Linked DNA regions of Drosophila melanogaster. The gene in region 1 interacts genetically with each later gene. Each region holds a gene or a part of one and is shown in the gene's direction. Other genes may lie near its edges.

Region 1 (9,058 bases):
ATAAATATTAAAGCAATTTGAAAATATTTTACTAATTTTCTTTGCGTGCACTCGCTTCAGTTTCCGTCAATCTAAGTCGCACTACAAGCTTCCAACAGGAATGCTCTGTGGAAATCAGTGAAAAGATCTGAAAAGAGGGCTGGGGGCAGGTACGTTGTGCATATGTATGGGTATCTGTATCTGTATCTGTTTTGTGTCGGCTTGCCGATCGAAAGTCGTGCGCTTTCGCGGCTGCATCAATTACGTCGTTAAATTAATCAGTATTCCTTAATCTCAATAAATTAGAGATAACGCTTAAGCGATATTTTTGCATTTTAAATGCCACACGCTACCGTGAGGGGGGGGGGGGCGGTGGTTGGAGGGAAGGGGGAGGTTGGAGAAGTCGAACCGGTACAGTTATTGGAAATGGGTCCAGTACTACGACATCCCGAAAGCCTTCACATCGCCGTCTACAGAGTCTGCTGCTCACATGGGCGACGAAGTGGGGGAGGGTTGAGGTTTAAAGTATTTTTATAAGTATTAGATATTAATATTAACGTACTAATAATTGAATCAATTATTACTCTGAAACTAACTTATTTATTTTTAGTATACTTCCAATAAGCCCCTCCCCTTAGCCCGCTTTCTGAGTACGCCACTGCTCGCAGAATTCCATGTGGCCACATTAGGGGGGCTCGCTTTTGACAAACACATGCGCACATAAGCATATAAGCATAATTCCGCCTGCCAGCGAGAGTTGATGTTGGTTGGGTGTCTTTTAGAGTCTTGATAGCGCCCCATCAACATCAGCGTGCGACTTCGACAGCGACACACCAACGTCACAAAATCTCGTTTTAGCCAAAGTGGCAGTGGCACAGCAAATACCGTTTCGGCCACAGTTGATCAAGCGATTATTGGGGAGGTGTTCGGTATTAGGTCACCATTGCGAAATGCTTTAATAGTGACTGATATGTATATGTATGTATTTGAGTAAATATATTATCTAGTATTCTTTGGCGCATAAACCACTTCTAAATCAATTAGGAATCACAATTTCTACTATCGCTGCCAACGAGTTAGGAAAACAATCGTGTTTCTTACTCCCTCGCACCATCTCACACTTGCAGGGCTGCCTAAAATGGTTGAGTTAACAAATTGTTAGTAACAGTGTTCAAATTTCCATATGAAACAGACACACACTGTCTCAGTCTTTGCTGGTAAACAATCGTCGGGCGAGTCAACTGGAGTCCAAGTTTGAGACCGCTATAATATGCCAATATAGCAATATACCACCACCCCCTTGCCATTAACCCCTTCGATCCATCGACGATATGCCAACACAGGCGAGACATTAAAACAGAAATTATAATTTTTTGAAGGCCAAGCGTGTGTAGAGCCACTCCGGATCGGCTCCACTTGATTTGGATCGCCTGGCTTTACTTTGGATCGAATTAGCCGGAGCATCTGGTGCTAATGCCCTGCTAAAGGGTGGCGTTTATGTTTTTTGCACACTACTCACTAAGTGCTATTAAGATCTAATAAACTGTATTGATAACGATGATAGCTGGTTGTACAACTGGGCGTATACGTAATTTACAGAGTATTTAACTGATTATCATTTATAGCAATGAAATTAAATAATTATTTGATATGTGCTGCGGTTAAACAATGTTCTTTTTTTATGTAGTTAAATAGTTATAGTTAAATAGTTTTTAAAATGGTCTAAATCTAGTTCTATCTAGTTCTAGAGAGTTTGCCAAGCATTTAGGCAGTTCGAGACCTTTGAAACTTGAGCGTCGCTTGTAGAAAGAACCCCTTTCGTTTTCGGCACTCTGGCGCCCAGAAAAGCTCCTTTCGAGATTTGGCGCGCAGTTTGAAACCTGAGTTTAGTGCCTTGCGTGTCCAGTTTGTCAAATTTGGTTGTGATTACGAGACGGAGACCGAGACGGCGACGACAGTTAGCCATTCGCCACGCGCCAACGCAAATGAAACGCTCTATACATATTTTTGTATATTTTCTGTTTTTTTTTGCCGCTGACAATTATGATCAAGTATTAGCTGGCGATAGCTGAAACGTCTGTGTAATTTCAATGGAATGGAATGGGAAGTGGGCGGCCTATTGATACACTGCTCGAGTGATTTTAACTTTTATCTGATCATTCAAACGCATAAATTAGTCTTGAGAACTTCAATTCATTTGATACTCCAGTTAACATGCTATTTACATGCTCATTTAAATGGTAGTAGTGATTTATAAGCCCACTTCCAGATGGAACTTACCTATACCAACGTGTTACTTATCGTTCTTAAGCCAACTTAATAGCATTCTAAAATATATATGTATCTTTTGGCGGACTTATCTTCTTGTTGTTCTCGCATTCCAAAATCTCTATGTACATGCAAACTTTTATTGTCATAACTCGGGACTTTGCAGACTTTGAGGCCTATTTAATAGAGCTATAATCTTACAACAAAAAAAAACTAAAAGAGCTTTTTAAGCAATAAAAATATTCTGAAAAATTACAAATTAACAAAAAATTACCCAATGAAGCCTGCAAATTTGAAATCTTTAAGATCCTAGATATGCCAAGATGCACCCTAAAGTCCTTAACTCATCTCCTTGGCTCGTTTCTAATCCCCCCTCTCGAGGGATCGAGACGATCGCATCGGGTCGGTCTTTAAGTTTGGATGATCCATAAACTGTTGGTTTCTCCGTCCTCAGCGTCTAGACTTCATTAGCCGTGTAATGTTGCGGAATTTATGTGGCAGGCACATTAAAATAACACCGATACACACTCTCATGGACGCGAACGTGTGTACAAGTATAGAGATATCGGGCCTAGGCGAAAAATGAAATTAAAAAAAAAAAAAAAACTGGCACCGGGAGGGGCTTATTTTTCGGTGGTCGGGGATGCGGGGGACTTTGACCATAAAATACATGCTCCCAAAAAGCTCGCACACTGCAAGAGATGCGGGGCACTTCTGAGTCCCATATTCATATGCACAAATGTGCATTGCTGGCATTATCAGTAGAATGCAATTTCGGGAAATTTTCCATCGCATCACGAGACAATGAACGTAAGAGAGAAATGGAGCCTCAAAGAGGGAGGGAGAGAGAGAGCTTGAGTGAACGAGCGAGCGACAATCGCGAGATAACGGCTGCCTTATCAGCAATGCCGACCGCCCCATCACCCCACCCAAAACGCCCAACCACCACCCACCGCCGCCGTTCCCTTTCCTCCATCGTCGAGAATTTCGAGTTCAGAGCAGCGCGACCGAAATGAAAAGAAACAATTTAAATTCCAAATGTATAAAATAGGTAAACTATGGCTTTTATTTATTAATATTGACGGGGGCACAAAGGCGGTCACCTCAATAGTGAATAACATGTTTTTTATAATGAATACTTTTCAAATTGTTATTAATATGCAATGACGTCTTAAATGTTTCACTGCAGCTGAACTTTATTCTTTTCATTAAAACAGTCACCCGTTATTAAAAATAAATAGATTAAGTTTTATATTATTAAATTTGTAAGTATTGAAACAATTCCTTTTTTATTTTATACGAATTATCATTTAGTTGGGGTTAATATCCCTTAAAGAGAGAAATTTGTATGCTTTAAGATTTAAAATATCTATTGCATTTATAGCTATAGCTATAACTTCTCTTATTTCACGCAGAAAATACTCAAATAAAACATATCGATTTGGCATACCCCACTAATTTTTTGGCCCCAAGTGTGTGAGAGTGTGTGAGACGAAGCGCGCCACAAACATAAAAAAGCGGTGAAGTGAGCGGTTGTGGAACGTGAGTGGATGCTAAGAGCAAGCTCTCACATACGCGGACATAGGTCGCACACACACACGCACAGACCGCCTTTTTGCGCCGCCGAAACGAACACTTTTACGAAGGCGACGGCGAATCAGTTTCAGTTGTCAGTTCGCATCCAACTAGAAAGCAGTTAACGAGTAGTCTGTGTTTTTTCGCTTGCGGTTAAAAGCCACGAGGTCGTTCATCGTTCATCGTTTTCCTTTTCAACTTCAAGCAAAGCAAATATAAACCAATGCAAAAAACGCAGTGATCTTTTGAGGCCCAAATCGTTTGGGGCCGAACACCGTTGATTCTAAAACGCAAATGTAGAAACAAATCAAGAAAGTGGAAAATAAATATGTTTCGCTTTCAAAACATGTGAATGTGCCGAACTCAAAACTGAAACGTAGAAGGAACGCGTTCGTTTTTTACATACGACAATCGTATAAAATAAGAGAAAAGCTCCAAAACGTATTAAATAGCGATGCTTGGATGATCTTCGTAGCAGTCACGTTGTACATACAAATACATACATATGTACCTACTATATGGCACATAAAATACGTTACGCACACTAGTGGCGAATAAAAAGCGAATTGGAGTAAGCTCCGAAACGTGTTTATATTAAAATTTTTTACCCATTTGAACTTTAAACAACTTTTCGACTGCGCCGCACGGTTTTCATTGAATTCTCATACGAATTCCAATTAAGTGTTGTGTGTGCGTCCAATTGGCATGAATTGATGACGTGACGTGATCGCTCTCTTCGCTCTCTCCCTCTCTTTCTTCGGCACACACACATACACACACTACGCTCTTTAATCGCGCCGCTCTCTTCGCGCTCTTTTTATTTGTTTATTTTGATTGTTGTTATATATATATTCTAATTTACCGTTTTTACAATCGTCTTTAGCTTAAGCAAAACCGCCGCCCAGCAACAACAAGAAACCCATTTAATGAGTGTGTGTGTGTGTGAGCAGAAAATTATGCCAACAGAATTCTAAAAAATATATATGTATATATTTAAATAACCACTAAAAATCAAGAAATCCGCACAAGTTTCGCTCAAAACAACAACACAATCATATATACTACCCATAAAAAAAAAACAAACCCATAAAAAAGTGCAAAGCAACCAGGAAAATAAAGTAAAACAGTGCCAGTTAACAACAGCAAACGGCGATCAACAAATCCCACCGGCAAAATCAACAATTTTTTAAATCGCAATCAACAAGGAGCAACAAATTAGCCAGCTATTTCCCATTGCAAACATTTGGCGGGTAAATATTATTAACAATTACGAGTAGGTGTACTTGATTGAATGAAAAATGTCATGTTTTTTAAGTTCCTAAATTCGATTCGAATCTAATCGGCAATTGATTGAAATATTCTAAAAGTCAAATTTTGTTTCGTCACGCGATTAAAAAAGTAATTGAAGCAGTGCTTTCCTACACATCAATTAAAATTTAAATTAAATGGTATTTTATGTTGATTACAACAACATTTTTTTTAGTCGCCACAATAAAATATTCATTCTTCCGTGAAATATTTCCAATATAAATTGCTATTGCTATATTTATAAAAATAAGCTTTGATAAAAGTTAAGAGGTTTAATAGAAACTAGAGTTAGGTTCTTTTATTTATATTGGTGTTTAGAATTTTAGATAGGAAAGCTGGACTTTTTGTTGTGTTAAAGTAGTCACATCTATTGAATTTACGACCCAAATTTTAATACAACCGATAGGGAATGTGATTTATAACCTTATTCGAGTAATTCCTAGTTTCACTTTCAAGATCAAAACGACTAGAATCATAAAGTCGGTCACGTTCGGCGCTGCAGTGTCGCTCCAATAGATGATCTTTCAGTTCGTGTGGGTTTTGATTAGTCCGTTTTGGTGTGTTACTTGTCATGGGAGTGGGCAGGGGAGATCTTAATTAGAGCAGCGCTGATAATGGCTCTAAAAATAGAGCCCCAGCGCCACACTGATAGCAGAGCTTGAAGCGTGTGTCGTTTGCGTGGAGCTCATTTCTTTCGTTCTGTGTTTGTTTGCTCCCCCGATTTTCGTATGCGATCCACTAAGGTCGATTTTGTTGCCATATTTTGCCAGCGATCTCGTATACGCACCGTTTTCAGATGCTTTTGAATATTCTCTTGACATCAGTATTGACATTGAAATGTGATTAGGTTTAATTTTCATAAATGGGTTGATTCGCCACTCGGTTAGCTGTCGAAAGAGGCTTTTTTATTCCCCATTTACAGATAAGGCTTTTATCTATTCGCAATGTGCCAAGGTACAACAGCAGCTGATGGCCCAAAAAAAGTGTACATATAAGCCTATACACACATCTGTATAGTCGTCCTATGTGCTTGCGATTGTGACTTTTATCATATCTTGAGTGTTTGCTAGCCACATTGGTGGAACGTGCCAGTTGATAACAAGAAAGTGTGCGAAAGTTTGTCTAAAAAGCTGTAATTGAAGCAGGGAAACCGGGAAGTCAATTAATTTTGAGAGACAACATTAAACGTATTCTTCGTATTCTAGTATTCTTCAAGAATTAGTAAAGCTCTTACTAATAAGCTCGTTTGAGAATGACGATAAGTTATATCGATAATGTCGATTTTACCGATAACCGAAAAACGTTAGTAATGGAAATTTAATGATCATTAAATGAGAGCCACTACATATTGTTTTGTTTAGAAAGATATAGTCGGAATACCAGTAGTTATTTCTTAGTATTATTTTGTGATTTTTAAATATTCTACTCAGATGTGTAGAACTTTTTTTCGAACGCTTCTTTTTGCTTAATTTATTTCGTTTTTCGCGCCGACCCCAAAAACGTTAGTAATGCAAATCGATTGCGTTTGCGAAGTCAGATGATCCCATCCATGATTTCCATGCGTCAGTTGTCCCAGCTGTCAATCGAAGATCGCCGTTTGGGGGCTCTACGTTCCTGGTTGACTTCGCCATCGGTCGAGTGGAATCGAATCGTTCGTTTGCTCTTTAATTATTGTAATGAATTCAATAAACATTGCAGGGCCTCTGCCGTTCATTTGCATTTGCGTTCGCACTCGCTGCATTCTGAACTATTGCACATTGCCTGGTCGGGCCTCTCCTTCTCTATATAGCGATATATATGTATATGTATATGTATATATAAATATATAGAAATCTACATATGTATTCATTTATATATATGTAATTCTCTATTTCTCTTAGTTGCTCTAGAAGCGCGTGATTCTCTCGCAGATCCACGTGCCGCCAGATAACTGCACTTTCAATAAGCTTTTATTTGAATAAGCTTCCGCGATAATTGACTTAATAAATTATTAAATATTAACAGCGTAGAAAAAACCAGAATGCAATGACTGACATGGCATCTCCTTGTGGATTTTCTAATGCCAAGTTAATAGGAAAATCATGCAAAATAGCTGGAAAGTGCATTAGGGCCCGACTGAGCTCACAAAAATGTCTTAATATATCATTTTCAATCACTGCATTACCAGATTCCTAAGTCTTAGTCACTTTCCAATGATTAATATATACACATATAAATTATTGTTATTTATTTCCCAAAACTAACTTTAATATCAAGCAAAAACGCAGTGGTACAGAAAACCAACAATTAAAGCACAGTACAAATAATATGAAAAAGAGCGCAGATTGAAAGTGCCACAAAAAAGATTTGTTGTCCAAGGTTTATGCTTGGCATTGTAAAGGGGTTATTGTGGCGTTGCTTGGGGTCAGAGGTTTGGAGGGTGCCCACCGCGATAAGCAGCTGGTCGCCACAGAGGGAGAGGGATACAAACAGATAGAAACGGGTGCCGGCGAGTGGAGCTGCTGCTCCACATGGCAACAGTTGCTGGCTGGCGGGGAGTGCATAAATATGATGTGCATTGCTTTCGTTTCAGCTCTTTATCGCTTCTTTATCTTTGGGGTTGCGTGATAAGAACGCACTCGGAAAAAAAGCGACAGCACAAAGTGTCGACAGGGAATTATTGGGAATTATTACAGGGAGTTGCGAAGTTGAAAACCTTTAAAGTGAAATTAGAAAAGTGAATCAATTATATTTTTTATTCAACAAAAAAGGAAGCTTAACTTAACACAAAAACACTTAAAGCCCGATCAAACTTTTACTGTAAGATTATAATAATAATACCAGACCAATATAATTTTAAGTCGATTTTTTTTCAATATTAGGCTTAACTTTCCTTTAACCGGAAGTTCGCCCATGTACCGTTTTAACCTGAAGTTATAACTAGTCCCTTGGCAAGCCGAACTCGTCGCTCTCGCGTTATATTGCTTTATCAGCAGGTTAGTCCATGACGAGTTGATATTGCTGGGCATAATTCACTTTCGAAGGCAAAGGTCGTTCGGTTTTATGGAGGGTGACACAGCACAGCACACACATTTTGAGATCCCCGGCACACCGGAGTGGCCGACAAGTGGGTTCGATGTGGCCTCGTCATCGTCACCGCGCCATCGTCATTATTATGATCATCATGGGGTCGCGAGGTACTTGAGATCATGGGCCTGGAACCGAACCTGGGCTTTGGGATTGATACCGTCGCCGTTGTCGTCGTCGTCGTCGTCGCCGCCGTCCTCTTCATCTCGAAGTCGGCTCATTAGGCAGGGTAGACCGGACCAGATTGGTTCAGACCATACCAGTTGCTGTGCTGCTCGAATACCTACCTCCTCATCGACGACCAGCTGTCAGTCTTGCTTTTTATTTTCTCTGTTTTTGGTTTTTTTCTTTTCGTTTTTCGATTTTTTCTTCTTTTTTTTTTTTGGCCGAGCATCGGGCTTTTCTCGCATTGACTTACTTTGCTTTATAATCCTGTTTGACGGGTTGTGCTGCTGGCTGCTGGGGTGTAGATCTCTTTTACTTCCACATTGCTGAACCCGGTCATGTGTGATGAGAGGGGCAGGTACAGCGTTGAGCAGCAGCATGGGAGGAAGGGTGAGGAAGGGCCATACCTGAGATTCAGGGGCACCACGAGATGGTCCAGTCTCAAGGCACAAGAAATCACATGGTTCGTTCGCCGAAGTCGAGGGTTCTTGCAATCAAGGAGCATCTGGCGGACACCTTTCTGGTTGGCCAAGTGATCTTGAGAGCGCAGCTCCCCGCCTGATAAGCACTGAGTTAGCAGGGACGTGGGCAAAAGTAGGGCTCTCTAGGAGTAGTTAGGAACTATTAAAAAAAAGCAATAGAAGATATTAAATGTAATGGAATGCTATCATTTCAAATATGTACAAATCTGTTACCA
Region 2 (8,691 bases), on another chromosome or scaffold:
GTTGTTTGTTATCCCTTTTTTTGCGCCGCGAGGCAGAGCCAGAAATTGAAGGAGGGGTGGCAACCCTGGTCGTCTGCTGGTCAATTCCATTTGCTTGGCAACAAAATCGCGAAATGCCGACAGAAGAGCAACAACAAAGCAAGAAAAAGTAGCAAGCAGCGCACCTCTAAACGCTTATAAACGCCACTTTCACCGCAGCATAGACAACAAAAGCAATTTGCGCGTGTGGGCTTTGTTTTGTTTAGCTAATTAAAATATTTGCACACGTATATTGTGTATTGTGTGGGGTTAATCGACATTTGTAATTAAAATGCACACCAAATTTTTCGCCTTGACAACAGAGTCGAAAACGAGTAATCGAAATCGAAATCGAACTTGAAACAGCTGTCACTCCACGGTGCGTGTATTTGTGTGCGAGTGCAATGTCAGAGGTGGGCGTGTGTGTGTGTGTATGTATGTATTAGAGGCGGCGCCCCGGCAGAAGAAAAAAAAACACAACGAAAAAAGCCAAGCCACACGTTGAACTTGCGCGCTCTCTCGCTCGCACACAGACGCATGCTTTTTGCGTCGCGTGTCGTTCGTTCACCTGCCAAAGAGAAACACAGAGCGATAGAGAGTTGGGAGAGCGAGCTGATTAACATCGCGTTAACAGAGGCAGAGAGAGCGCCCGATTGTTATTATTTATTATTTTTATTTGCGACGTACGCTTCAAACCTTTTCCGGCTCCCCAATTCATACACATATATGCGTATTTGAATATATATATACTTAACTATAAATAATTACAATTCAATTAGTTGATTAAACAAACGCCTTCTCTCATTTCATTGCAGCAAGCAGCAGCACAAACAACAACAGCAGCAGTACAGTTTTGTAAACAAAGCGTGGCGACAATTTTTTACCATTATCAATTGCAAAAGGAAACATTCAAATTTAAAAGTGCTTTTGAAATGTTTATGCAAAATGTTGAGCATAGCGGAAGCCAAAAATTACCATAAAACCAAAAGTACATTAACTTGAGAAAATCGATAGATTCTAGCTAACAAATCGATAAAGAGAAGACAAAAACAAAAAAACAATCCATACAACGCAGAAGAAAGACAGATCGCAAAAGTTTTTGCTTTCTTCTCAGATTTCCCCCCTGCGACTGTGTGCGTGTGAGTTCGCATTCGCGTGTGTGTGTGTGTGTTTTGTTTTCATTAGAGCACACACACACGCCCCGTTGTGTGGGAGTGTGTGTAATTGCAATGTCGAGCGGTAAATAAACGGAAAGAGCAATAACAATAATAACAACAAGAGCAGCAGGAGAAACGTGTTTTTGTTTTGTTTGTTTCATAAATGTTTGACAATTACACTGTAAAAAAGAAAGAAAAGTAATTCGTGACAAGTGCGCGTACAAACGGTAAAGCAAATTCGAAAAAAAGACTTGAAACTTGTGTTCATAATTTTAAACAAACAACAAAAAGTATTCGACCCATTTAAAAATATATACGAAAAAATATATATTAACCAATACCACATACATAAATCTATATTAACTGGTAATCACGAAAGGAAATTCAAACAAAAACAAGTAATAAGGCAACAACAACGACGCAAAGGATAACGAAATGAATGCAAAATACACAAAAAAAAATATTTAATTTATAAAAAAAAACCTACAAATCACAAGCAACCAAAATCCGACACAAAAACACAATTTCAAACTATCCAAATCGCATGAACAAATAACGCAACATATATATATTCATCTATATAAATATATATAAGCAAGAGTATATATATGTCAAGTACATATAGCGTAATACATAGGAGCCAACAAACCAAGTAAAGATTCATTAATCAGCGCAAAACCAACAAACATCATCCCCATGTATAGATTAGAGGATACGAATAGCGGCGGCGTTATGGATAAGAATAAACAGAAACGTAAGTATTATCCACTGATCCTTTTCCAAAAAAAAAAAAAAAAAAAAAACTAAGGATCATATCGCTCGGACCGCTCCAGAAACTGCCAAATATTTCATCAACCTTTCACCATTGCAAACCCAGTTTATAACCACTTCTTTTTGTCAATTGAAGTATATCCTGCGAATTTATTCGGTACAATCATTTTTTTAGTGTAAATTGAAGTTAGTTTTTATTGCCATATAGATGGTACTTTGTGCCAATCGAAAATTGTAGTGCTATATTGTAAATACGAGGGGACTGACTATAAATCAAATAAAAGTCAGTCATTTTGCAAATACACTTGACATTCCAAGATAAAAAATGGTGTTAATGTGGCCGCAGTAGTACAGCTGTAACGATACTACATTATTTACCTTTCGAGAATAAATCAGTTCAATATTACTGCTTTCGATGGCAGTGCCATGTTCTGCAATAATTCCACGCAAATGGGGCATATCACCGATAATAATAATTAGTATCAGGATCAGGTGCTATTTTAAATAATGGCCAGATTTCGAACAGCTAATTTGGGCTGCCTTTCCCCACCATTTCCACCGCTTTTCCTGCTCAGGCGAGGAATGCAACAATGTCACTGCATTCATTCAGTAAATAATATGTCCAACTGTTTGCTTATCACTCAACCGTCACCGTCTGTATTTGTTCCAATCCGCACTGTTTTGAAAAACCCGTAAGTCTATGCGGGACTTCCCCATTATTTGCCAAATATGTCGAGACTTTAGTATCCGATTAGCTGGCGCCGCCATCTGTTCATAAAGTTGTCAAGTGGTGGGTAATAGTAGTATTACAGTCGCAGTCACGTCACGATGTGAGTCACCTGCTCCGGATGCAATTATCGATGGTGTGTGATTGTTGGTAGTGGCCCTATCCCCCCCCCCCCCCTCATTCCTCGCCCAAAATGCAAGTGGCCAAAAAGGTGGCGGGGAGCGAACGCAAAATGTCGTCAACTATTTTTATTTTCGGCCGAGAGACGCGACAGACAAACAACGAACATGAGAACTTTGGGGCAAAGATCCCACATTGCGAACGGAGGATCGGATCGGATCGGATCGGATGGGATCCCTATAAATAGAGGGACTGGTGGCTATGCTCCTGCGAATCTTTCGAGGGGCCCCGAACGCATTAATTATTCAACTCTTCCATCGATTGGCAAGCGTTCAATTTGTTTATTATAAAAGCAAAATATTTTTTAATTGCTTTGGCGAAATGGAAAACACAAATTAGCTTGGCGTGTAGACAGACATTTACATAACTCGAAAGAACACAAGTTTATAATTATTTCAAAATCGTTTGGCATTACTGGGCATTTTAGTTTCGAAAACGATTTCCTATTTTTATGGCCCACTCTGCCAAGTGGCAGCTCAACCAGTTATACAGTTTTGTAACGCACTGCATTATGTACACACACTTTTTGCCTGGGGTTAATTACATTTTATTTTAATTTCACATTTCGTTTGCTTTGTTTTGATTTCCTTGACTTGCCGACGACGCAAAAGCCGAAACAAAGAAATGCATACTTACATATGTATGTATGTATGTATGTATGTATATTTGTATCTTTGCGCGCACGAGACAAGTGCGAGCACTTTCCCACCCACAACCACCCAGCGTTCCCCCATTTACCCCACATGCATTCGCTACATGTCACTACGCTACATGTCATTATTGAAATGCCATTATCAACGAAAAGCGGAACTCCCTCTGTCAAAAAAAACACTTGTGATAGAAAACAAAAGGCCAGCCAGAAGTGAGCTTTTCACCAACAATAATGGGGGAGAATACCTAAGAAAACCGATTTATTCGTTTGTGGTTAATCACAAGCAAGTGCAAGTAACTCTGTGATCAATATGGAGATACTGAAAGGTATTTACCCAACACTGTTTCAATCAGTTGAGCTTCTTCAACACCAGAGATGTGCACTCCGAAACAAAGGTCGAAAGGTATGGATTTGACCAAGAGATATCACCAAGAGATTTTTCTATTTCCCATTTACTCAAATGCAATTGTGCAACACTGAACGAGTCTAGTGTAGTGTTAATATAGCGAATTCCGATGCCAGATAGCCGGGCATTCCCTACTTTAGCTTCATGATCATTACCACGCCGAGATCGTGATGATCGTTGCTGCAATCTCGCTATCGGCGCTCGGCTTCGTTCGTGTGTTCCGCATAAGTGCAGCAAAAAAGTGCAAAAACACCAAGTGAAATAAAAGAGCAGGGAGAAAACACGGTTCCGTATAAATAAAACAGACGACAACAACAACAACAACGACGAGTGGCAAACTTTGGGGACAGAACTGGGGGAACAAAAACCGAGGCAGTTTGCGCTGAATTTTCACACGAAACAGACCGCGCTTCATACAGCCAGATCCAAATGGATCTTAAATTACTTAAATAAACTATATAAAAATAAACGAAATAAGCATATCATTTTGATTGAAAAAAGGAAGCGGTTAGTGCAAAGTGCGTTCGCGATTCCGATTGCGATTCCGATTGCCAGTGATATGTCGACGGCCCTGGTTTATTGGCAGTCAATGAATGGCGGCGATCCGGTTGACAAGGCCACCGCGGATTGGGCGCCATTCGTGGTTGGTGCAGCAGCTGGTGGCAGCTTCAGTAGCAGCATCATCACCAGCAGCAGCAGCAGCTTGAACCACCATCCGCACAACGGCCACCACAATCACCATCATCCGCCTCATTACATCAATTATTTGGCGCAAATTGGCTGCCAGCATCGTGTCAGAAATTGGCCAACAAATGGCAATCAGGATCAGGCGGATGACGACGACGCTGGCCATCAGATCATCTCTAAATTCCTGCCCAAAAGTGCCTGGGACACGGTGCTGTTGGATGTGAAGCGGGATGTAGATGAAGATGGAGATAGAGATAGAGATCGGGTCGATGGCAATGTGCTGATGGTTCAGGGATCGTCATCATCATCATCGAGAATGAAGGCGGAACGGGCACTCTATTATACTAGTAAGCCCATTGGATGAAACAGAGAAGTTGGCCTAGAAAAATTTGTTGCATGTCAGTTTAACTGACCGACAACTTTTTTTTTTGCGTTTGCACAATTAGTCAACGAATAGAAAGGAAAAGTATCTTTGCTCTCGCCACATGTTTTTTTGGAAATTAGAAATGGAGTGTTGGAATATCAAATGTCGCGGATTATCATCGAAAACACAGCTGCTGCCACTTACAGGTTTTACCCTGTTGCTTGATTTTTTCATTCTTGTTTATAACGTTGGGTCTATTTTTGTTGCACAAGCCATCAGCGAACGAAGAGCGAAGAGCAACAAAACAAAAAGAGTGAGCATGTGAAATGGTCATAGGAACGTGGGGAAATAGAATCTACAAACGGCAGAATTATGTATCTGCGCCTGCATATTGTGTAATAATTTCAGTTCAGTTCCGTCTGGTTCTAAAATTAAGGTAGAGCTTCTTTTTTACTTACCTCTGCTGGCCTGCCAATGCACAGGAAAAAAATATTGCTAGCAAAAGTAGATTCTTCGGAAAGGAAGAGAAATGTTCCAATTCGTTTTTTTTTATATGGCAGCATCATGTGCTTACTATCTTTAACTCACTAGTATGACCACCAATTCAACAACTAATTTTAGAACGAATTTTGCATCTTGAGTTAAAAAAAGAATGCATGACTCTGGGCTGGCTCTATATCAGATCTTAAATGGGAATTGGCAGTGTTTTTCCTGCGGTGTGTGTCCACACTTTTCGCCCTACCCTTTGCTTTTATTATCGTTTTGGCAACTCTTGACGCTGACGTAGTCAGGTGTGCAAGAAAACAGGTGCATTTTGCAGAGGAGCGGTGTCCGAGCGATCCGGTCAATGAACCAGCACAGAACGGCGCACAACGAAGGCGGCAAGCAAATACATCGCAATAATTATATATACACACATATATATTTGTATAATTCCCGCCGATATCTGATAGTATCTCTGATCTCTTCCTTTCTCTTACGCTCTAGTGTCCGCTTATGGGTCCAGCGGCGGCAGCGTCGACGCAGCGCAGGGCAGCGGAAGCGGGGGCGGAAGACAGCGCCACGCCCCACTCTACGGGCGATTCGTCGACGCAGAGGATCTGCCTGCCACGCACCGGGATGTCATGCACCATGTGAGTATTATCAACTAGCATTATCCTTATCTTCAATCCAAAACATGCATTTACACACAAAGGACATGCAGAAGTTGTGTTTCTTTCTTTTAGAAATTGTAGAACATTTTTTGTTTAGAAAAAATCCACAAATATTTCAACGGAGCCGTGTAAAAGATAACTTTACTTCGTTGAATATGAACTTACTTTTTCCCATGCTCTACTTAAATTAAAACATGCAATTAGAAAGGTTTATGGCGCATTTGAGAAAGCCGCGCCCTCGGAAGAACAAAGAATGGTATTTTTCAGGACTGGTTTTGCCTTTCTCAATGCGGCCATTAAGACTGCGTATTTATGTTAATAACGAAGCTTAGCAAGTACATTAATAATGTTGTTTTAAGAAATTAAAGAGATTGTGTTCAAAATAAAAATGATTTGATCTGAGCACGATCTGAGCCAAAGCTAGCTGGGCATCACTTTATTGAACAGTTTGAGTAATACGTTCTCCATCTCATTCCACAGCACTCTAGTCCCTCGTCTTCGTCGGAGGTGCGCGCCATGCAGGCCCGGATTCCCAACCACTTTCGGGAGCCCGCCTCGGGACCTTTGCGCAAGCTGAGTGTCGATCTGATAAAGACCTACAAGCACATCAACGAGGTGAGTGTGGCCCATAACTGGCGTTTAATCTGGTTAATCTACAAGCAAAACATATGAGAACCAATTGATAATTGGATATTTGATCATAAAATCCTATGTTTATCGTGGCAATATTGAGTTTGGATCATGTTTACCAGGTTCTCTTGTCGTTACAATGCACATAACTTTTCTGTTTTCATTTGCATTAGTAAATAGTGATTCTATTGATATTTTAGCTTGGCAAGATTCCATATCATTTCAAAAAGTATATTCTATCTAGTTTATGTAACTGTCTACCTTATCAATTACCATTGCGATGATGTTGTTCTTGTAGTCTGCAAAACTACGAAGGAACCTTGGCATCCATCCATCCCGATTTCTTTCTTCTTTTTTTTTTATTTACGCTTATATGTCGATCGGAATTTCGTCGGGGGCTTTTCTCGTCTTGTGGCTTTCTTTTTTCGGCTGTCTGACTATCTGCTGACAGCGGATATTTGTGGCGTTGAGCTGGGCTAAAGATACGTTTGTCCTTGACCCGTTCGTGGGGTCAATTCCCCCAACAGCGTCACCGTTCCCCCGCAGCCAGCCATTTGCAGTTGGCTTCGATTGACGTCGTCTGCCGCCTCGGTTGACAACAGCCGAAAAAAAATAAATAAATAAAAGGAGCATAAATGCTACACGCAACTGTCTCGGTTCTCCTGCCAAGTTCCCAAATTTCTCAACGAGAACGTCCCCCGAATAACTAATACTTGTTTCTTGATGGCCTCTCATGGAAACTGTCAAATGACGCTATGACAAAATGCCGCCGACCTAAATCGGTGATTATGCGCCTTGAGTGGGTGGGGCGAATGTCGCATGCCTCATAAAAATGTTAATATTTCACGCAGTTTGAGTTCTTACGAGTTGCACGCAACTTTTCCCAATAAAAAAAAAACCTTCACTTTCTGGCATTAAGGATAGCTACTATATTCTATATTTTCTTTGACAAAGCGTACTTAATTGTAATTAATTTAAACCGGCATCTTAAAATGTAGCTTATTCTCAACGGAAGTCAAACATATTGAAATCGGTAAATGAGAATGCTGCAGTTGGGCGATTTGACAGCTAGCGATGTTGCAAGTATTTGAATTTGACAGGTGCTCTCGAGCAGTTGGAGTGCTTTTGACAGAAGTTACAGTTACATTTGCAGTTGGCAGCTTGTGCCGTTGGAGATGCCGTAATATTGCAAATGCCTTTTCGCTGCCGCTTTGTATGCTACAGTTTTCGATTTCGAGAGAGTGGGGCTCTCTTCCTCTGACTCTGTCTCCTGTATCCTCTCGCAACGTGGTGCTATCTCACTTGCACCACCGCCAACTTGCCGCGTTAGCAACAACTTTTTTCACCAAGCTGCAGCCTTTTTTCCCCCGTGAAAGAGAAGCCGTGGTGGGGAAAAAGAGAGTACGAAAGAGTGAGTCGAAAAAGGGAGAGAGGATTTTCTCTTTTTTTTTTTTAGCTTGGCGTCGCCCTCTTTCGGCATTTTTTTTTTTATTTGCCGGTCTTGGTTCTCATTTTCGCGATTTCCCCATCTTCCCACTTTGTGTTTACATTTGTCGTTGATGAAGTGGAAGTAACGGGATTACTTGCAACTGGCCAATAGAATCCAATTATCTTTAACACTTCAATTTTTGGAAATTGTATTATTTTTCTATTACTTCACATGCATTTTGAACATATTATAATGGGTTAGAAAACTAATATATGTAAACAACACAGAAATGCTATCTATTGAAATTGATCCGACTATTTTAAGTGTATAATCGTATTCTCCTGGCAGATTCGCGTTGTTGCCCTTTAGGTCACTCTACTTGCCGCCAGGTGGCGAACATGATCATAATATTACAACAAAAGCATGAAATGTGTTTTTTTGTTTTATAGTTAAAAAAAGATTTTTTTTTATTTGTAAATTTTTAATATATATGATAATATTATTTACTTCATTTCA
Region 3 (7,786 bases), on another chromosome or scaffold:
GATTTTCTAGTAAGCAATATGTTTGGATACAGAAGAATACTCTATGTTGCTATATTTACAGCTGCCTCCCCTGATCGAACCCATTGCCATTAATCCCAAGATCTCCACCTGCCCCATGGTGGATACTATTTCGCATGAAGATTTCTCTTACTTTAGCGGAAATAAGGACGGAGCACGAGGTGGATTCGATTGGAAGATGCTGTACAAACAGCTTCCGGTTCTGCCCGAAGATGCGCTGGACAAGTCCATGCCGTACCGGAGTCCCGTGATGATGGGCGGTCTATTTGCCATCAACACGGACTTCTTTTGGGATCTGGGCGGATACGACGACCAGTTGGACATCTGGGGCGGTGAGCAGTACGAGCTGAGTTTCAAGATCTGGATGTGTGGCGGTATGCTGCTGGATGTTCCCTGCTCGAGGGTGGCACACATATTCCGGGGACCCATGAAGCCAAGGGGCAATCCAAGGGGACACAACTTTGTGGCCAAGGTGGGTGCTACTCTCTAACCAGTTCTACTTTTTTAATTCTAATTATATTTGGTTTTAAATCTCATTTAGAACCACAAGCGCGTGGCAGAGGTTTGGATGGATGAGTATAAGCAATATGTGTACAAACGCGATCCGAAGACCTATGACAACCTGGATGCCGGAGATCTGACCCGCCAGCGTGGAGTTCGAGAGCGACTCAAGTGCAAGAGTTTCCACTGGTTCATGACGGAGGTGGCGCCTGATTTCCTCGTCAAATTCCCGCCCGTGGAACCACCTAGCTACGCCGCCGGCATCATTCAGAACGTGGCCAACCCGGTCTATTGCCTGGACAACATGGGCAAGTCCACCGAGGAGGCGGTGGGTATGTTCAGCTGTGCGGACAATAGGACCCATCCGCAACCGAATCAGTTTTGGGAGCTCTCCATATTCCGAGACCTCCGGATGAAGGGCTTCGATTCAGTGTGCCTGGATGTGCACGAGGGACCGCCGAATGCCACCGTTTGGATGTGGAGCTGCCACAGTCAGGGTGGCAATCAGTTCTGGTACTATGACAGGCAAACCCAAAGGTTGGTTCACGGAGAGAACAACAAGCGCTGCCTGGAGGGATTTGTGGAGAACGGCATAGCCAAGGTGGTGGCCAATTCCTGCGAGAATGGCAACGATCGCCAGCGCTGGGAGTTCGGATTCGTGAACCACACTATGCTGGACACCTTCTACGATGGATTAAAGTAGACTTTCATCCACGAGCCACTAACAATTCGAGTAACCACAGGCCAGATGTCGATCGGTTCAGGTCGGGGACCGCGATCGTCACGGGTTTAGTTCATTGTTCGTTGTGAAGGTTTCTGAAAAAAAAAGTTCGCTAAGTAAATTCCATTTTTCCATTAATTCTTGCCCCATGCATTATTGATATATGGCAGCGGAAAGTGAAAGATCTGGACAGGCAGATCGCAATCGGAGCGAGGATTCTGTCCGATCGCGAGCCACAAACTCTGATCTTTATTTGCTGTACGTACACTATATTTAGGTATTAATGTTTCGAAGAGATCCTCGACTACTTGTAAAGTTAAGAGATCGTAACTATGTGAAATTAAACAATAATAAAAGTTACAAGTGTATTGTAGAATCAATAAATACCTTAAACATTTTCTTTTTATATAATATAGATGTAATCGATGTAGTGAGAGCATCTGTAGTACTTCTTCACTTCCGATTTGAATTTTCGACTGTCGCAAAACCTTATCAGCAGGGCTGTTGACCTTTCTACAAAAGGAGAAAGAGGAGTCGGTAAGAGGTAGCAGACACCAGATAGACTAGAGAAGTTCCCACCCCTCCGAGGTCTGAAGTCCGAGATCACCAAAAAAAAAAAAAAAACCAGACATATTGTTAAGCTGATGTAATTTAAGACGCAGTTGCGCGATTGTCCCAGGAGAGGACGAAGATCGAAGATCCCTGGATGAATGTGGATGGATGGCAGCAGGCAATGACTTAGCGTCAAGCTGTCTCGATCTTGGGCTGGCTTTATCCTTATCTATGCAGTTCATTATCTACCAAACGAAAGCACATGCTAATTTATAGACAACGTGATGTTGTTTTGCTCATTTCCTCCGCATTTTTTTTCTCGTCGCTTTTCATATTTTGTGCATAAACAAAGTCAAGTGATTTGATTTTTTGGCCAACGCGACGGCGACGCCGCTTCTCAATCGGATTCACCGAATGTGGGTCATCGACGTCAGCGGAGATGGGGGTCTTATTTGCTTCGGAAGATTCCCTTTGTTAGGGCAGTTCACTTGTTGATGGGCGTTTGGTAATAGATAACAAAAATGGTCAAGTAGTACTTGTATATCTGCGAGTTTTCTTGGAAACTTACTTACCACTGAATAAAATGTGATTTCCATCTTAAGTAGGATGGGTAGATAATAAGCTATATGATATTCACTCTATAAATAATTTGAATTGGTAAACCACAATACATAGTCCTAAATACCTTTATATTATATTGCAATAATACAGCACATTCATTGATTTGATTACCACGTGTATTTGGCAGAGTATATAAATATCATTGGACTTTTTTGTTTACGTTTCTCATGGTTTTCGCTCTAGCCGAAAAATATAAACAAGTCGATGTCGTCTAGCCCATTCACAACCATCTCAGACTCGTTTGGGAATAGAACCCACCGATGGTAATGACCCACCGTTCGTCCGTATGTTTCACGCAATTCGATGGTGCAATTTCATCAGCCTCCCCGAAAAAGATTTCATCCGAATTTCACTATATATGTACGTATGTATTACCTGTCCCCCGGCGGATGGGAAAAACACCCCTCGGCGCTTAGAGAACCGGCTAGGAATATCTCAAGACGCATTTTAACTTGGCTGCAACGCAGTAGGAAAACTGCCTGCCGTCTCTTTCCTCGCGGCTATAGGCCTGTCTCTCTCTCTTTGCGCAGGTACATCATATTGTATCTGATGAAAACGAAAGCAAAATCCGAACTGGTTTCTTCGAGGGTTGATAAGCCCTAATGGAGGTGGAAAATGCGGAGAAGAGCCGCTCTCTCACCCAAAAAATAAAATATATAAACATATCAGCCGGCACGTAGGGCGGTTTCTATGCTGTGGACTACGTGCTAGATGACACGGCAAAATTGTCCGTGTTTTTCGTGTTCTGGCTCCCTTGTTTACCGTTTACTACTTTGGGGGTCAGTTGGCACCCAGCTAACTCCCACCCCCATCTAGTGTAATTGATGGATTTGGGTCATGCTTTCCCCAATTCAAATATGCTCCTCGTCACATGGAAATCTACTTTCAAGGTCTGTCAAGCTTCCCCATTTAGCCATCATAAATATTAGCACGCTTAAGTATCGACCTTGTGCAGATTTCTAGGTGGGCGCCATCCCCTGTCCCACATCGAGATCATGATCGCCGCAGATCAACACACGTGGCCACCTTTTGTCAACCCCATATCCCTCGGAATGGCCCGTGGCCAATATCCGAATTACGTCGAATCGTGGGCGCCAACGTAGGCAAAAGTTCCTGTAGCACTATTTACATGCGTCCAACGATTAAATATCGTCAACATCGCCCCCGCATAGCTAAAACCGCTCGTGCCGCTGCTTGGATCCACCCTATGCTTGCTGCGATCAGTGGGGCATATTAGTTTGATTCCAAACAAGATATTCCACCTCAAAGAACTTGGGAACTAATAAGGGTTCGATCACCAAATTTGGTGATATGATATATGTATTTCTTTAGATATGTGCGCTAATATTAAACGGCTAAGAAGTCAATGTGCCAAAGAAAAGATATTAAATATGTATGTTTCATATCAGTCAAGTTAAATTTTGATATGAGCTAAGCGTACTTTTGGATTGTGCACTCCTAAATATAGAAATCACGCTAAAATTGCATATCTAAGTAAATAAAGCAAGTAAGTTATGTAAGACGTGTATCTTTTCGTGATAATTATTTCAAAACGGCTCGTGCCAGATAATAATGAACACTTTCCGCCTGAAAAAAAGTGAAATGCTGGGTATCTTTTAGCCCATAAAAACCTGCAATATCGTTGCTCAAATTGCTATGCTCCGCGAGTTCGCACATGCATAGAAGGCACTCATAGCCTACGTCACGATTGCCGGCGACGTGTCTTTATGCTAATTAATGGTATTTCGCGAAAACGAGTGCAAAATAATGGCCCCATGGAGAGAGCGGCAGTACTTCACGAAATTCTGCGGAACACCTCTTGACTCCCAGACAGCCATAGATAAGATCCCAATTGCACCTGAGTCATCATCATTTCCCTAGCAAGATCGACAATAGACTTGGTTTTTAGAAAAGAATGCGATTGGCGTTTAGTGCTGTTGGCTAACTTGTTTACCAATAATATTGCCGTGCATTAAACAATAACAAATGACCAAAGATAAACAAGAGCTCAAGGCGAGAAGCCCCTCAAGACAGCCCCCCACCATCGCTACACCCCTTATCATCTAGAACCTCCGAGGTGTGCAGGCTGCAACAAAAATAAGAACAATAGGGGAATATATTAGAATACGGCAATAACAACAAGAACCAGCCGGTTTGTCATAAACTACGCAGAAAATACACCAGATAAAAACAAAAAACATCAGCCGACCAAGCAGAATAATCAGGCGAGAGAGCAGGCGAAAGAGCGAGAAGAGAGCGAGAGAGAGTAAGAATGGGGGGGTATAAATAGAGCCACACTTCGTAATACCGCCAGCAATCGCCTAGCGAACAGCCAACGGTGAACACATAGCAGCCACACAAGCTCTATAGCTGATACAAGCAACGAAATACAAACAACGCAGTTTGTGTAAACAATCAAATTGTCGCAGCCATATCGAGTGTGCTTACACGTCCAGCGGAAAGTTTTCGAAACCAATCCAATCAATCAGCTAAGATGTCCGCTTCACCCACCGCCCGTCAAGCCATCACCCAGGCCCTGCCCATGATCACCAGGAAGGTTGTCATCTCGGATCCGATCCAGATGCCCGAGGTGTACTCCTCGACGCCCGGCGGAACCCTCTACTCCACCACTCCTGGAGGTAAGTTTCGAAAATTGGAAGCTGAGACTACATCGAGTATTATTAAGTTCCTTCCGGAAAGTGGAGTGATTTTCTTATCATTAGATATGATATCAAGATGAAATTAATCAACATATTTCGAAAACATAAACAAGTATACCGTTTCTTTCCTTTGCTCAAACAACAAACAAGCTTTTGTTTGAGTTGTGATACATTATTTTTGTAAAACTCACTCACCATTTTTTGGCTGATGAAACTGGGCCATCTCGCCGAGTCAGTCAGTTGGAAGATAATCCCGAGCACATGTTCCACAGTTCGTGACTCAGAGTAGCGCGGCAAAGAAGCGTTTACTCAGCTGGCTTATCAGTGGGGAACTTTGAATACCTTTCTGATGCAACGCAGACCACCTTGACTAATAAAAATTTCCGCTTTCCTATAATTCCAGGCACCAAACTTATCTACGAGCGGGCTTTCATGAAGAATCTCCGTGGCTCCCCATTGAGCCAAACTCCGCCGTCCAACGTGCCCAGTTGCTTGCTGAGGGGAACTCCGCGTACTCCCTTCCGCAAGTGCGTGCCCGTCCCCACGGAACTGATCAAGCAGACCAAGTCGCTGAAGATTGAGGACCAGGAACAGTTCCAACTGGATCTGTAGGGGGTGTGGCGTGTACACCGCCATGCAGCAACTGCCAAATCCAACTAGTTCTTAGATGCACCCACTAAAACCGATCTTATAAGCTTAGTGTACCCATTAACTAGATGCTAAGTTCTTAGTTCTTCCACCTTGTTTGTTCTCTCGGTCATATTGACCCCGTTACCTTGTAAAATCGTAGATCTTAAGTAAAATGCAATAAAAAAAAGGCACACATTATTTAAAAGAGAACCACACCTTCCATTGGGATTCAGTAGCTGCCAATTTACAATTATAAATTTTAATTTATGTTTGAGAAATTCAGTGCCAAATTACTTTCTTTATCGGCAATTCAACCTTGGCAGGCCACGCGTTATGTGATAGAACACTTTCCACTTCACCTTGAGTCAGTTTCGGTTTAGTAGTATTTTCGGCAGTTTGTTGAACTGTTTGAACTGTTTACGAAGAAATTTAGCGAAAGGGGGCTTTTTGGGGGGCGGTACACATGTTAGACAGCTGGAAATACCGGCCGGCTTTTTAGTTAGCCAGTCAGTCAGTGGCCCCAGCAGCGCGTGTCCCACTTATTGCAAAGATATGCATACATATTTATAATGTATCCAAAAACCGGCAAACAAACGCCACAAAAAAATAGATCTTTAAGAAACTGCGCAGTTGGGAAACGACCTCGCCTTTGGCCCCCGCCCCGCCCTTTACCATTTTTCTTATATATACAAAAGTAGTGTGCTGAGCACATGTTCGTTCAGATAGACCGATCCCTTGTGGTCCAACAACTACATCCGACTACACTCGACTAATCCCGGCACGTTCCAGACCCATTTGAATATTGCGCATGAATAATTACCTAATCGCAAAAAGTGTTTGCTCGACAAAGATTTAGCATCGCAGTGCAAAAATTCGACCGCACGAGATAGTGCAAATAGTGGATCCCAGATGCTTACAGAGTTATAAATATAAGGCAAACCAATTTAATTCAATCTGTAAACAAAGCCAGACAGTCAAAACAAATTGTACAAACTAATTAGCTTTAAGTTTGAGTTGAAAAAACAATGGCTTTGGCTATTAAAACCTCAATGAATATCAAACATAGCCATAAGTTGGTAGTTGCGCTAATAATATATAATTATGAAGATAAGAATAGTTAAGAATAATTAAATATTAGGAGGGGTTTAAAACTTCGCGCTACAGTTCTTAGTATTATTTATTACCAATACTATCATTCGACTTTTAAAATTGTAGTCTACTTTTCAGCGTTAGCGCATAAAGTTGTTAGTTCCTTAAACGCCCGTTTTTATGGCTTTTCATTATGGCGCCACTGTGCTAAATATGAAACTTGAAATTTCATCCAATTAAAATTCGTATCACTTAACCATATTTATATTTATTTGATCAAGTTTCGATGTTTCGCATAGGACAAATGTACAAGAATCTCAAATAGTTTAATAGCAAGCTTACGGTCTACACAAAAAGTTGTTTAAACTTGTTTAATTACATATTTACAATAAAATATACATATTTTCATAGACGTAGGTGCGGATGTGTGCGCGGACAAGGAAGGTAGCCTCTCTACTTGAACCTCAGCAGGTTGTCCACTCCGCCAAGCGGACCATGACCGAAGTGCAGGGCATCCGACGTGGATTCCGATCGAGTGCGTGCCTCCAGAACGGAGGCCACCCGCTGCTGACCACTGATGTAGCCCAGGGATCCGGAGCCGAGATACACATTACCGTTGGGCAAACGCACAAAGCCCAGGCCGCCCGATCCCAAGGCAATGGCATCCCCTCCCGATGCACCACCCTGGGATCTGGGCTGGATGGCAAGCTGCTGCTGCTCCAGCAGCAAGGAATTAGCCCGTGAGTCCAGCTGGATTCCATTGGCGGATGGAGCACCAACATGTGCTCCATAGCGATCGAAGAAACTCGTTCCGGACAGGAATGGAGCCGGGGTCTCGTCTATGTCGTTGTCAATAATCTCGATGACGGCATATTGCTTCAGCTGCCTGCCATTGGCCACGTAGGATTCTCCGGGCGAGATCAACGCCTGCTTGCCGAAGGGAATGCGCAGATTTCCTCCCGCTGTCAGTGGAGCTGGTCCCGTGGGCGGCACC

Evidence for each region. Genes that interact genetically often act in the same process or in processes that back each other up.
Region 2: of foxo (region 1) and mnb, changing one suppresses a phenotype caused by changing the other (phenotypic suppression), as found in Drosophila melanogaster (one study listed by BioGRID).
Region 3: of foxo (region 1) and Thor, changing one suppresses a phenotype caused by changing the other (phenotypic suppression), as found in Drosophila melanogaster (one study listed by BioGRID).

Annotation. Positions count from the first base shown.
Region 1 is NT_033777.3:14,053,036-14,062,093, forward strand, and holds the start of foxo (forkhead box, sub-group O), read left to right. Parts: upstream 1-3,909; 5' UTR 3,910-3,989; exon of another isoform or gene 3,990-4,393; intron 4,394-4,705; 5' UTR 4,706-5,072; intron 5,073-9,058. UniProt on the Drosophila melanogaster protein: Transcription factor involved in the regulation of the insulin signaling pathway. Consistently activates both the downstream target Thor\d4EBP and the feedback control target InR.
Region 2 is NC_004354.4:17,870,659-17,879,349, reverse strand, and holds the start of mnb (minibrain), read left to right. Parts: upstream 1-4,309; 5' UTR 4,310-4,470; coding exon 4,471-4,945; intron 4,946-5,949; coding exon 5,950-6,095; intron 6,096-6,596; coding exon 6,597-6,731; intron 6,732-8,691. UniProt on the Drosophila melanogaster protein: Role in the specific control of proper proliferation of optic lobe neuronal progeny.
Region 3 is NT_033779.5:3,473,709-3,481,494, forward strand, and holds Thor (thor), read left to right. Parts: upstream 1-4,725; 5' UTR 4,726-4,907; coding exon 4,908-5,052; intron 5,053-5,476; coding exon 5,477-5,685; 3' UTR 5,686-5,904; downstream 5,905-7,786. Other genes in the region: Pgant4 (polypeptide N-Acetylgalactosaminyltransferase 4), read left to right, coding at 62-490, 560-1,222; CG15414 (uncharacterized protein), read right to left, coding at 7,246-7,786. UniProt on the Drosophila melanogaster protein: Repressor of translation initiation that regulates eIF4E1 activity by preventing its assembly into the eIF4F complex. Hypophosphorylated form competes with eIF4G1 and strongly binds to eIF4E1, leading to repress translation.